Linked DNA regions of Oryza sativa Japonica Group. The protein of the gene in region 2 binds, or shares a complex with, the protein of the main gene of each other region. Links are inferred from orthologs where the notes say so. Each region holds a gene or a part of one and is shown on either strand. Other genes may lie near its edges.

The links. Proteins that work in one complex are often made in the same cells at the same time.
Region 1: probable U6 snRNA-associated Sm-like protein LSm4 (region 2) and sm-like protein LSM7 share a complex: the UniProt entries of both Arabidopsis thaliana proteins name them as parts of the heptameric LSM1-LSM7 complex. The link is inferred for Oryza sativa Japonica Group from reciprocal best matches to the Arabidopsis thaliana genes emb1644 and EMB2816.

Annotation. Positions count from the first base shown.
Region 1 is NC_089042.1:4,610,547-4,614,854, forward strand, and holds the start of sm-like protein LSM7, read left to right. Parts: upstream 1-1,505; 5' UTR 1,506-1,665; intron 1,666-1,767; 5' UTR 1,768-1,803; coding exon 1,804-1,806; intron 1,807-1,928; coding exon 1,929-2,010; intron 2,011-3,318; coding exon 3,319-3,390; intron 3,391-3,753; coding exon 3,754-3,806; intron 3,807-4,215; coding exon 4,216-4,302; 3' UTR 4,303-4,308. UniProt on the Arabidopsis thaliana protein: Component of LSM protein complexes, which are involved in RNA processing. Component of the cytoplasmic LSM1-LSM7 complex which is involved in mRNA degradation by promoting decapping and leading to accurate 5'-3' mRNA decay.
Region 2 is NC_089035.1:8,583,607-8,587,759, reverse strand, and holds the start of probable U6 snRNA-associated Sm-like protein LSm4, read left to right. Parts: upstream 1-1,343; 5' UTR 1,344-1,594; coding exon 1,595-1,597; intron 1,598-1,689; coding exon 1,690-1,731; intron 1,732-1,828; coding exon 1,829-1,927; intron 1,928-2,197; coding exon 2,198-2,275; intron 2,276-3,819; coding exon 3,820-3,862; intron 3,863-4,153. UniProt on the Arabidopsis thaliana protein: Component of LSM protein complexes, which are involved in RNA processing. Component of the cytoplasmic LSM1-LSM7 complex which is involved in mRNA degradation by promoting decapping and leading to accurate 5'-3' mRNA decay.

The DNA.
Region 1 (4,308 bases), on a different chromosome or scaffold from region 2:
GTTCATAGAAAATTCTATTAGTTGTATTTTATGATAAATTTTAATATTAAATGTAACATATTTTGAGACGGAGTTAGTAGCTTAAAAAACACATCTAACATCTAGTAGTTGATTAGCAAAACTACAGGCCTAATGCATTGATATACACAACTCATAGCTAAAACAATTAGTTGGTTAATATCTACTTTAGATTTGAAACATAGTTGACAAAAAAAAACTTTAAAAAAATTGTCATGGTTTGGATAGAGTTCATGAAAGAGTCAACCCTTCTTCTATTTTCGTTGATTTTTAGTATAAAAAATCCATTTGCCCCCATTAAGATATAGTAATTTTTATGTTGGTTTTTATTATCATACTTTTCAAATTGCTAAACAGTATATTCCATGTGAAAACATTTTATATATAAGTTATTTTAAAATACATGATAAATCATTATTTCAACTTAGTAATAATTAAAACGCAACACTTTCTTGTTTTTCGTACCTAACTTTATCTCTACCTTTAATAAAACAAGATAATCTTTTTATTAGGAAAAAATATTATTATCTTCGCTCCAAAATATATTAACTTTCCATTATAAATCTAGGCAACATTTTGGGACAGGGTAGTATCGTATATTCAATTGTTCTCACTAGAGCAAAAATAGTTCAGTTGTTCATCACATTAATTGCGCAAATCCTAATTGGCGCGCACGCGCCCCTGGCGCGCACGCGCCGGCCCACACGTCTCATCCTCAGCCATTCTCAGCGCTTGCGCTGGCGAGACGCGCGTTTATTTTTTTCGGAATTTTTTCTCTATACGTATAAAACTGATTCGGTTAGTTCTAGGTAATGATAATAATTAAGATAAGATTTGTCTTTTTTCCGAAGATTATTTTAAGTAATAAATTGAAAAGAAATATATATGTGAAGTCAAATTCTAAAAACTTTCAATCCAGATTTGAAAACTTTCAATCTAGATTTGAAAAGTTTTTGAAGTTAAATTTTAAAAACTTTCAACTTTTCATCCCAAATTTAAAACTTTTCATCCTAGATTTGAAAAATTTCAAGCCAGATTTGAAAACTTTTAACTCAAATATAAAAACTTTCAACTCAAATTTAAAAACTTTCAATACAAAATTTAAAAACTTTCAAGTCAAGATTTGAAAACTTTCAAGTCAATTTTGAAAACTTTTAACTCAAATTTGAAAATTTTCAACTCAAATTAAAAAACTTTCAATACAAAAATTAAAAAATTTCAAGTCAAAATAAAAAACTTTCCAATTCTACATTTGTAAAGAGGTGTGCAAAAGATTAAAAAAAAATCGGAAAGAAACGGAGGAAAAAAAACGCGCTCAGAGAAAAAAAAAGAGGTGCGAACATGAAAAAAAAATGTACTGCGTTTTTTTACACGGTAAGCGCTAGGGTTAGTAGGAACACGCGCGGCTTCCCGTTCTGGCGCGTGCGCGTGCAGTAGGAACACCCCATTAATTGGGCTTCAAATCATACACATTGAAGCAATTAGGCTTCATCTCTAAAATGGGCTGAAGGCCCAATAAGAAAAGTCCTCCTTATACCTCTATAAAGTGATTGCGAGAAAAAGAAAAAAAAAGAAGAAAAAAAAAGAGAAAAACACAACACCATCAACCCCCGCATCCGCCACCGCCGCCACCACCCCCTAACTCCGGTAAGCCGCCGCCGCCGTCGCCGGCGGGCGCCGTGTCTTCTCCCATCCGTCGTCTCGGATCTTGCAGCGAAATTTGACAAAGTTTCCCTCCTTGCCTCGCAGATTTGAAGCGACCAGAGGCCGCGGCTAAGGTCCGGGATGGTAAGTTGTAAACCCTCTTCTCCCCTCCTGGGGTTTCGGGTGCTCGATTGGATCGATCCCGGGTGCTAGTTCTTGGTTTGGTTTGGTGGGATTGATTCCGGTTTCGTGTCTTGGTGGAGCAGTCGGGGCGCAAGGAGACGGTGCTGGACCTGGCCAAGTTCGTCGACAAGGGCGTCCAGGTCAAGCTCACCGGCGGCAGGCAAGGTTGGTTGGTTTCATCACCAGTTTAGGTCTGGATTCTTGAATACTCGTAGATGTGGGTATAGTTTTGTGCCAAGAAACCTCAGTGGCAGGGGCAGGAAATCCTAGGTCTGCAGCAAAATTGTAGAGTAGGGTATAGCCAGCTCGAACAGCCTCATTATAAGTGAAACGGTTTAATTAGCGATTAAAAATATAATTTATGGGTAAAACTTTTATATATGAGTTCTTGGTGATTTAAAAGCAAATGCTGAACAAAAGAAACTACGATGAAAAATCACCAAAATCAACTCTATAATAGTTTTAAAATTCAAATTTTCACTTACGCTTATAAGCTGAAGGCTAAATGATGGGGTTGGAAGAAGCTACTAATTATTTCAGTAAAATTCACTGTGCGCATCAGCTCCAGTCCACAGTAATGATCTGAGATGTCGAGCGCAGCATCCATGTGGCTAGTTTTAACATGTCCTCTGAATGCTTATAGCACATAATTGTGAGTTTTCAAGCATGGTGGTTGGTAAATTAAGGTTTTGTCACAAATTGGTCATCTTTTAGCATTTCTTGTGATGGATCCTGCTGTCCAAGGGCCATCCGCCACCCAGTTAAAATTAACGAGTAGCAACTTTATCAATTGACACTTCCTAATTCCTTAATATTCTTTCATAATGAATAAGTCTGGAAATGAGCTCCGCTCAATCCCTTAAACATTGATTCCAGTGTTCTGTATGATACCACATATAAACCAGCATTCCACTTGCATTCATTCAGAATTTCAGCAACACCAATATGTGCATGTGGAGAGGATTTGGCCCTACTAGAAGCTTACCGCCTTCTCTTCCAGTTTTTTACTTTCAATCTGTATGCTCACAGATACCAGATTCTGTGATTGCATATTTTTGAATTACACCTTGTATTCTGTTTGTAGCTAACCTCATCTAGATAGTGAAGGCACTCTCATGGTTGGCTATCCTGATAACTATATGATGACTTTTCACCTTTATTTTTTTTCTTTTTTCAGTATCATTTTACGGACAGAGTGGTAAAATATCATATGCTAACTGTATATTGAAATAGAAACTCCGTCAAGCAGATGAGCGGCCCCTTATGTAATATCTTAAGTTTTGACATTGTTTATAGTAGTTGCAAGGAGGTTAGCCATTAGCATTGATATTAAGATAAAGATTGAAAATAGACTAAAAAATGACAGTAGAACTGTTTCAATTTCCAGAAAACTCGTTTTTGTTATCCTGCAGTTTGTTATAATACACTAATACCACATCACAGGCCATAACTTTGGTATTTCTACATCTGCAGTTACAGGGACTTTGAAGGGCTATGACCAGCTTCTAAACTTGGTGCTTGATGAAGCGGTTGAATTTGAAAGAGGTACTGCTGCATATGTTGATACATTGCATTGTTTTGTTTGATCCCCATTGGTTTGGAGTTTTGAGTATAAATCACAAATCTATGTATTTGGAATCTTAACTAAGAAGAAATTTCCATCCTTCATGCATCTTGTATGTTTATGTGGTGCTAATCTACTGTTATGTACAAAGAAGATTGGGCTGGAATACAGCATAATAATTACACATAGACTAAATTTTAGTTTTCCCATTGTCAAACAATCATGACTGGAGGGAGTACTACTTGCTAATGTAGGTGTGGTACAGTTGTAGATAACAAATGCCTTATTAAATCTTTTCCTGCAAAGTTTAGTGAAGCTCTCATACATACTTTCTCATTTTGTAGAGCAAGATGATCCATTGAAACTATCAGGGAAAACCAGACAGCTTGGTCTTATTGTAAGTTTCTTTGCAGTATTGATTTCAATATCCAGGACTGTATTGATTTCAATATCCAGGACTTATCTTTGTCCTATATTATTTATATTGCTTGCCGATTGTAGTTCTGATAGTTCTTTTCTCTAATACACGAGATGTGTGTATCATTTCATTAAGAGAAGGAAGCTCTGAGAGTTTTTATTTCCATGCTATACGATTATTTTGCACTTTGCTGAAATCTGCACTAGTTTTTTTTTTTTCTGGAAATGTTGATTCGATCAGATTTACAACAAAACAGTGATTAAACAAAAATAATCTCAAAATCAAGAGCTTGGTTTCTTGCAAACTACTAGTTTGTTTCTGCCATTTGATTTCTTTTTGGCTGGTTTCATCATCCTGACACCTCAGCTCCAACGACTGTTTGTTGCAGGTCTGTAGGGGTACAGCGGTGATGCTTGTATCGCCAACCGATGGAACGGACGAGATTGCCAACCCCTTCCAATCTGATGGTGCATAAACCTGC
Region 2 (4,153 bases):
ATGATATATTTTGAACTATCTCTTTGTTTCAAAATATAAGAACCACCAACATTTGTAGTTTGCACTAAAATATAAACACTCCTAGCACTATAAAGTATAAAGTACTACTTATTTTAATTGTTTCCCATTAAAATTTCTTTCCATCTCTTCCTTAACCACTTTCTTGCCCCTAACCATATCTTATTTAAGCCGCATTCGTTTATTCAACTCTAAAATGCAACTTTATCTTTTTTAACATGTTTTTCAAACTGTTAAATGTTTTCTTTTACAAAAACTTATTATATAGAAGTTATTTAAAAAAATCAAATAAGTTTAAGTTTAAATTTTACGGTAATTAATACTCAATTAATTATATGATATTGGCTTACCTGTTTTGAGTGCCACCAAAAAGCTAAACTAAGTTGAAGATTCAAACTAGGCCTTGATATTGGACATCGAAATCTTTTCTCTTTAACCTTAATCTCCATGGTTTCCAACTCGTAAAATCAAGTCGAGGTACCCTGGACCGATTGGTCAACTAGTCCATCACTAGCTGATGACTTGCCCATGCAAAAACAGGGATGCAACATATAGTCTTTACTAATATTATACTATACTAAGCATTGTATAAAGTATAAATTATGATCTATAGTAGCAAGACAATAAATCAACAAGAAATAAAACTAAAGTATTAAACACAACAAGCTAATTAGCATGGCGAATTAATAATTCGCAACCGACTTTACGATGAACCACGACTTGCTGTTTGGACGAGACGTGGTTCTCTAGTCGATTAGCTTGACCAACTTTACAACTAATCTATCACTAAAATCGTGACTAGTCGTATGACTTGATAACAATTATAATCTCTATGTACAAATAAAATTATATTTTGGAAATGTAGTACTAGTATTTTTTACAATTTCCTTAAAAAATTATTTTGAGGGACTTTAGTTTTTCTCCTCTAGGAAATAGACCATATATGCCTAATTTTGAAAAGGATAAAGGAGTCGTATACCGGGTATCAGAATTACTAAAATACTGTCGCAAGTTTTTTTGGAAAAAAAATATCTATAGTATAATTATAGTGTAACTACAATATTGTTACACTATAAGAAACTATATCGTAATCTCTGTATAAAGTACATTGTAAAATGTAACTGCACTAACTACATTATAACCACCATATAAGTTAGACAAAAAATTATATATATTATTTCAATACTTATATATAAGTTATATTATAGTTAGAGTAAAATTATATTACAATTACAAGATTTGAAAGTTTATCCTTTAAAATTACGGCAGTTTTCTTTATAGTCTCTACTCGTATATATAGGCGGTTTATAACAACTTGAACTTTTATTTGGGACACGTGTACATAACTCTTTCGGTCCGGGACCCTCTCTTGTTTTTCTTCGTTGCTCGCGAGCTCTTCCCCCCTCGCCTCGCCTCCCCACCCAACAAGCCCGCGGCGGCGACTAGGGTTTTGACCCCCCGGAATCCCCCCTCCTCTCGCCGCCTCCGCCTCCGCCGCCGCCGCCTTCCTCCCCGCGCCGGCGACGATCTGCTCCTCCTCCCCCGCCGGCATCGCTGTTTCCGGATCTAGCGCAAGATGGTTCGTCTCTCTCTCTATTTCTCAATCTGTACCCTCTCGATCCCCAAATTAATGCGGCCGTGTCTGATTCTGTGTTTGTGTTGTGGTTGCAGCTTCCGCTCTCGCTCCTCAAGACCGCCCAGGGGCATCCCATGGTAAGAGAAGATCCGCCGCTTCGCGCTGTGCGTGGTGGTTGTTTGGTTTGGTTTCTGATCGGCTAGGGTTTGAAACTTTTGTGTGGTTTTTTTTTAGCTCGTGGAGCTTAAGAACGGCGAGACGTACAACGGGCACTTGGTGAACTGCGACACGTGGATGAACATCCACCTCCGGGAGGTTATTTGCACCTCAAAGGTGAAATCTCGCATCCCCGACCCACTTCGCTTGTAGATTTTAGTGGGGACAAAAGATTAGTGGCATTGTTTGGATTTGGGGAAAATAGGGAGTAGCCATTTGTTAAAGTAGTCTTCATATTTTTTTTGGAATTTGACGTGGAGATAGACAGATAGTAGGAACTTATAGTTCGAATTGTGTGTTCTCTTTTGGGTCATTTGGTTCCAATTGGTTTGATCGTTTAGTTTGTGATGAATGCTGTTTCCTCATTGTTTATGGTTGTCATTGCAGGATGGTGATAAGTTTTGGAGGATGCCAGAATGTTACATCCGTGGGAACACCATCAAGTATCTTCGGGTTCCTGATGAGGTATGGATTTTTAACATGTTAAACCTTGTTTACTATGTGCTTGTGGTTTGCTGGTTGTATGTTTAGACATGTATGTTCTCCATCTGCATAATCAGCCTTTTTTTTTCCCTGTTAGCATTCATCACCATAATTGCTAGCAAAATCACTATGTCGTGTGCAATTTTTTTGTGGTCAGCTTTCAGTTTCAAGTTTTGTTTTCCCTTTTAGATCTTTATGGGTGCCAGTGTGTCTCTTGTTTTGTCTGAGTAATCTCTCACGTTAGATATATGTAAGTTATTTGATGCCATTTAAGATATCTGCCTTATGGTGTTTTTAAGTGATTTGAGCAGATGAGGACCTCTCTTAAGCTAAGCAGAGCATTTTAATATGATTACGTGCAAATCACTCTGCATTTTATCTGTTAACTATCCACGAGGGGCTGATAAATTTTCTTGATTTCAAATCACTGATATATGACACCAAACAATTCTCCTGCTATGAATAGTGACAAAACTTATGTTCCAACTCTGCTGTACGCAAAGCTACTTTCCCACAGCCAAGGAACATTGAAAATAGTTCAGAACTTCAGATAATGGAGAAGTAAATATCACATAACCGTGACCTGGATAGTAGGCCTAAGTATATATGTCTCCTAGGTCACATCATATAGATGTAGCTGACTTTACATCATATGGATATAAATGTTATTAGTACTTTTAACCCATAAATCTATAAGCAAAGCACAAATGGGAATGTATTGAGCCAGGATATGCCCACACTTGTTATCAATTCTGAATTTAACCAGCCTTTCAATCCCTATTCTGGAAGTACAATCGAAAATTGATATGGTAGAGGTAGAATACTTTTTACCCGATCTTCTGGAGTTAGACAGCCTTTTATCCTTATTCTTAATCTTAAGCTGCATATTTTACCACTGAGATTAAGATTAAGAAACAGACATAAATAGGACTATTGTACCACTGAGATTTAGATTGCATTTTCCTCATGTGCTGGTTTGAGTAATCAAACAATCCTACGATGAGTTGGTCAATTGTGGGACCATCCCACAATTTAGTTGGTTTCCTTATTTTTCTACAAAACTTGATACTTTTGAGGGATGAGATGGAGTGGACCAACCCATTAACATTCCCAACCAAATAGTTAAGTTCAGAGTTAGGATCGTATGGTTCATTCACCAACTAATTCCTGAAATAGAACAGGGCCATCAGTTCATCTCTTGTTAGATATCTCTTGTGTTCATTTTGTTGTATTACTCTTTATTTTTATTTTTAGAGGTCAAATAGCTAATTGGATGTTCTTGATACTACCTCCATCCCAAAGTATGAGTTTTAGGGTTGGGCACGGGTATTAAGAAAGTTGGTGGAATCAAATGGGGAAAGGTTGTGATTGATTGATTTCGATTGATTATTTTTGTCTTTTCATGACATTCCAGCATATGTTATGTACTTCTGTTTTACCTTCATGATGATGATGATGATACACCAGCGTTGTCATTGTTACCTGTGCTTTCCAATCCTAAATGCATGAATTTATTTCTATGACAGGTGATTGACAAGGTCCAGGAAGAGACTTCAAAGAGCAGATCAGGTATGTACCCAATGGTTCCAGCTGTTATAAATCACATTTGTCTCTGTAATTATTTAGATGTTTTAATATTTTCTGTGAACTTGATGAAATATTTAAATCATAATTTTGTGCTATTAGTTGCCTTTGCTTGAACCTTATTCCAGTTCATTATTGGAGAAAAAATTGACCTTATTCAGTTTCCAAGAGATGTATTTTGTCATAACCCATAATTTTTATTAGTAAGAAGTACATTATATGCGGCAGTGCTATCAGTTGAATGTATGTGGCAGTGCAAATGCGTTTATGCGTGCA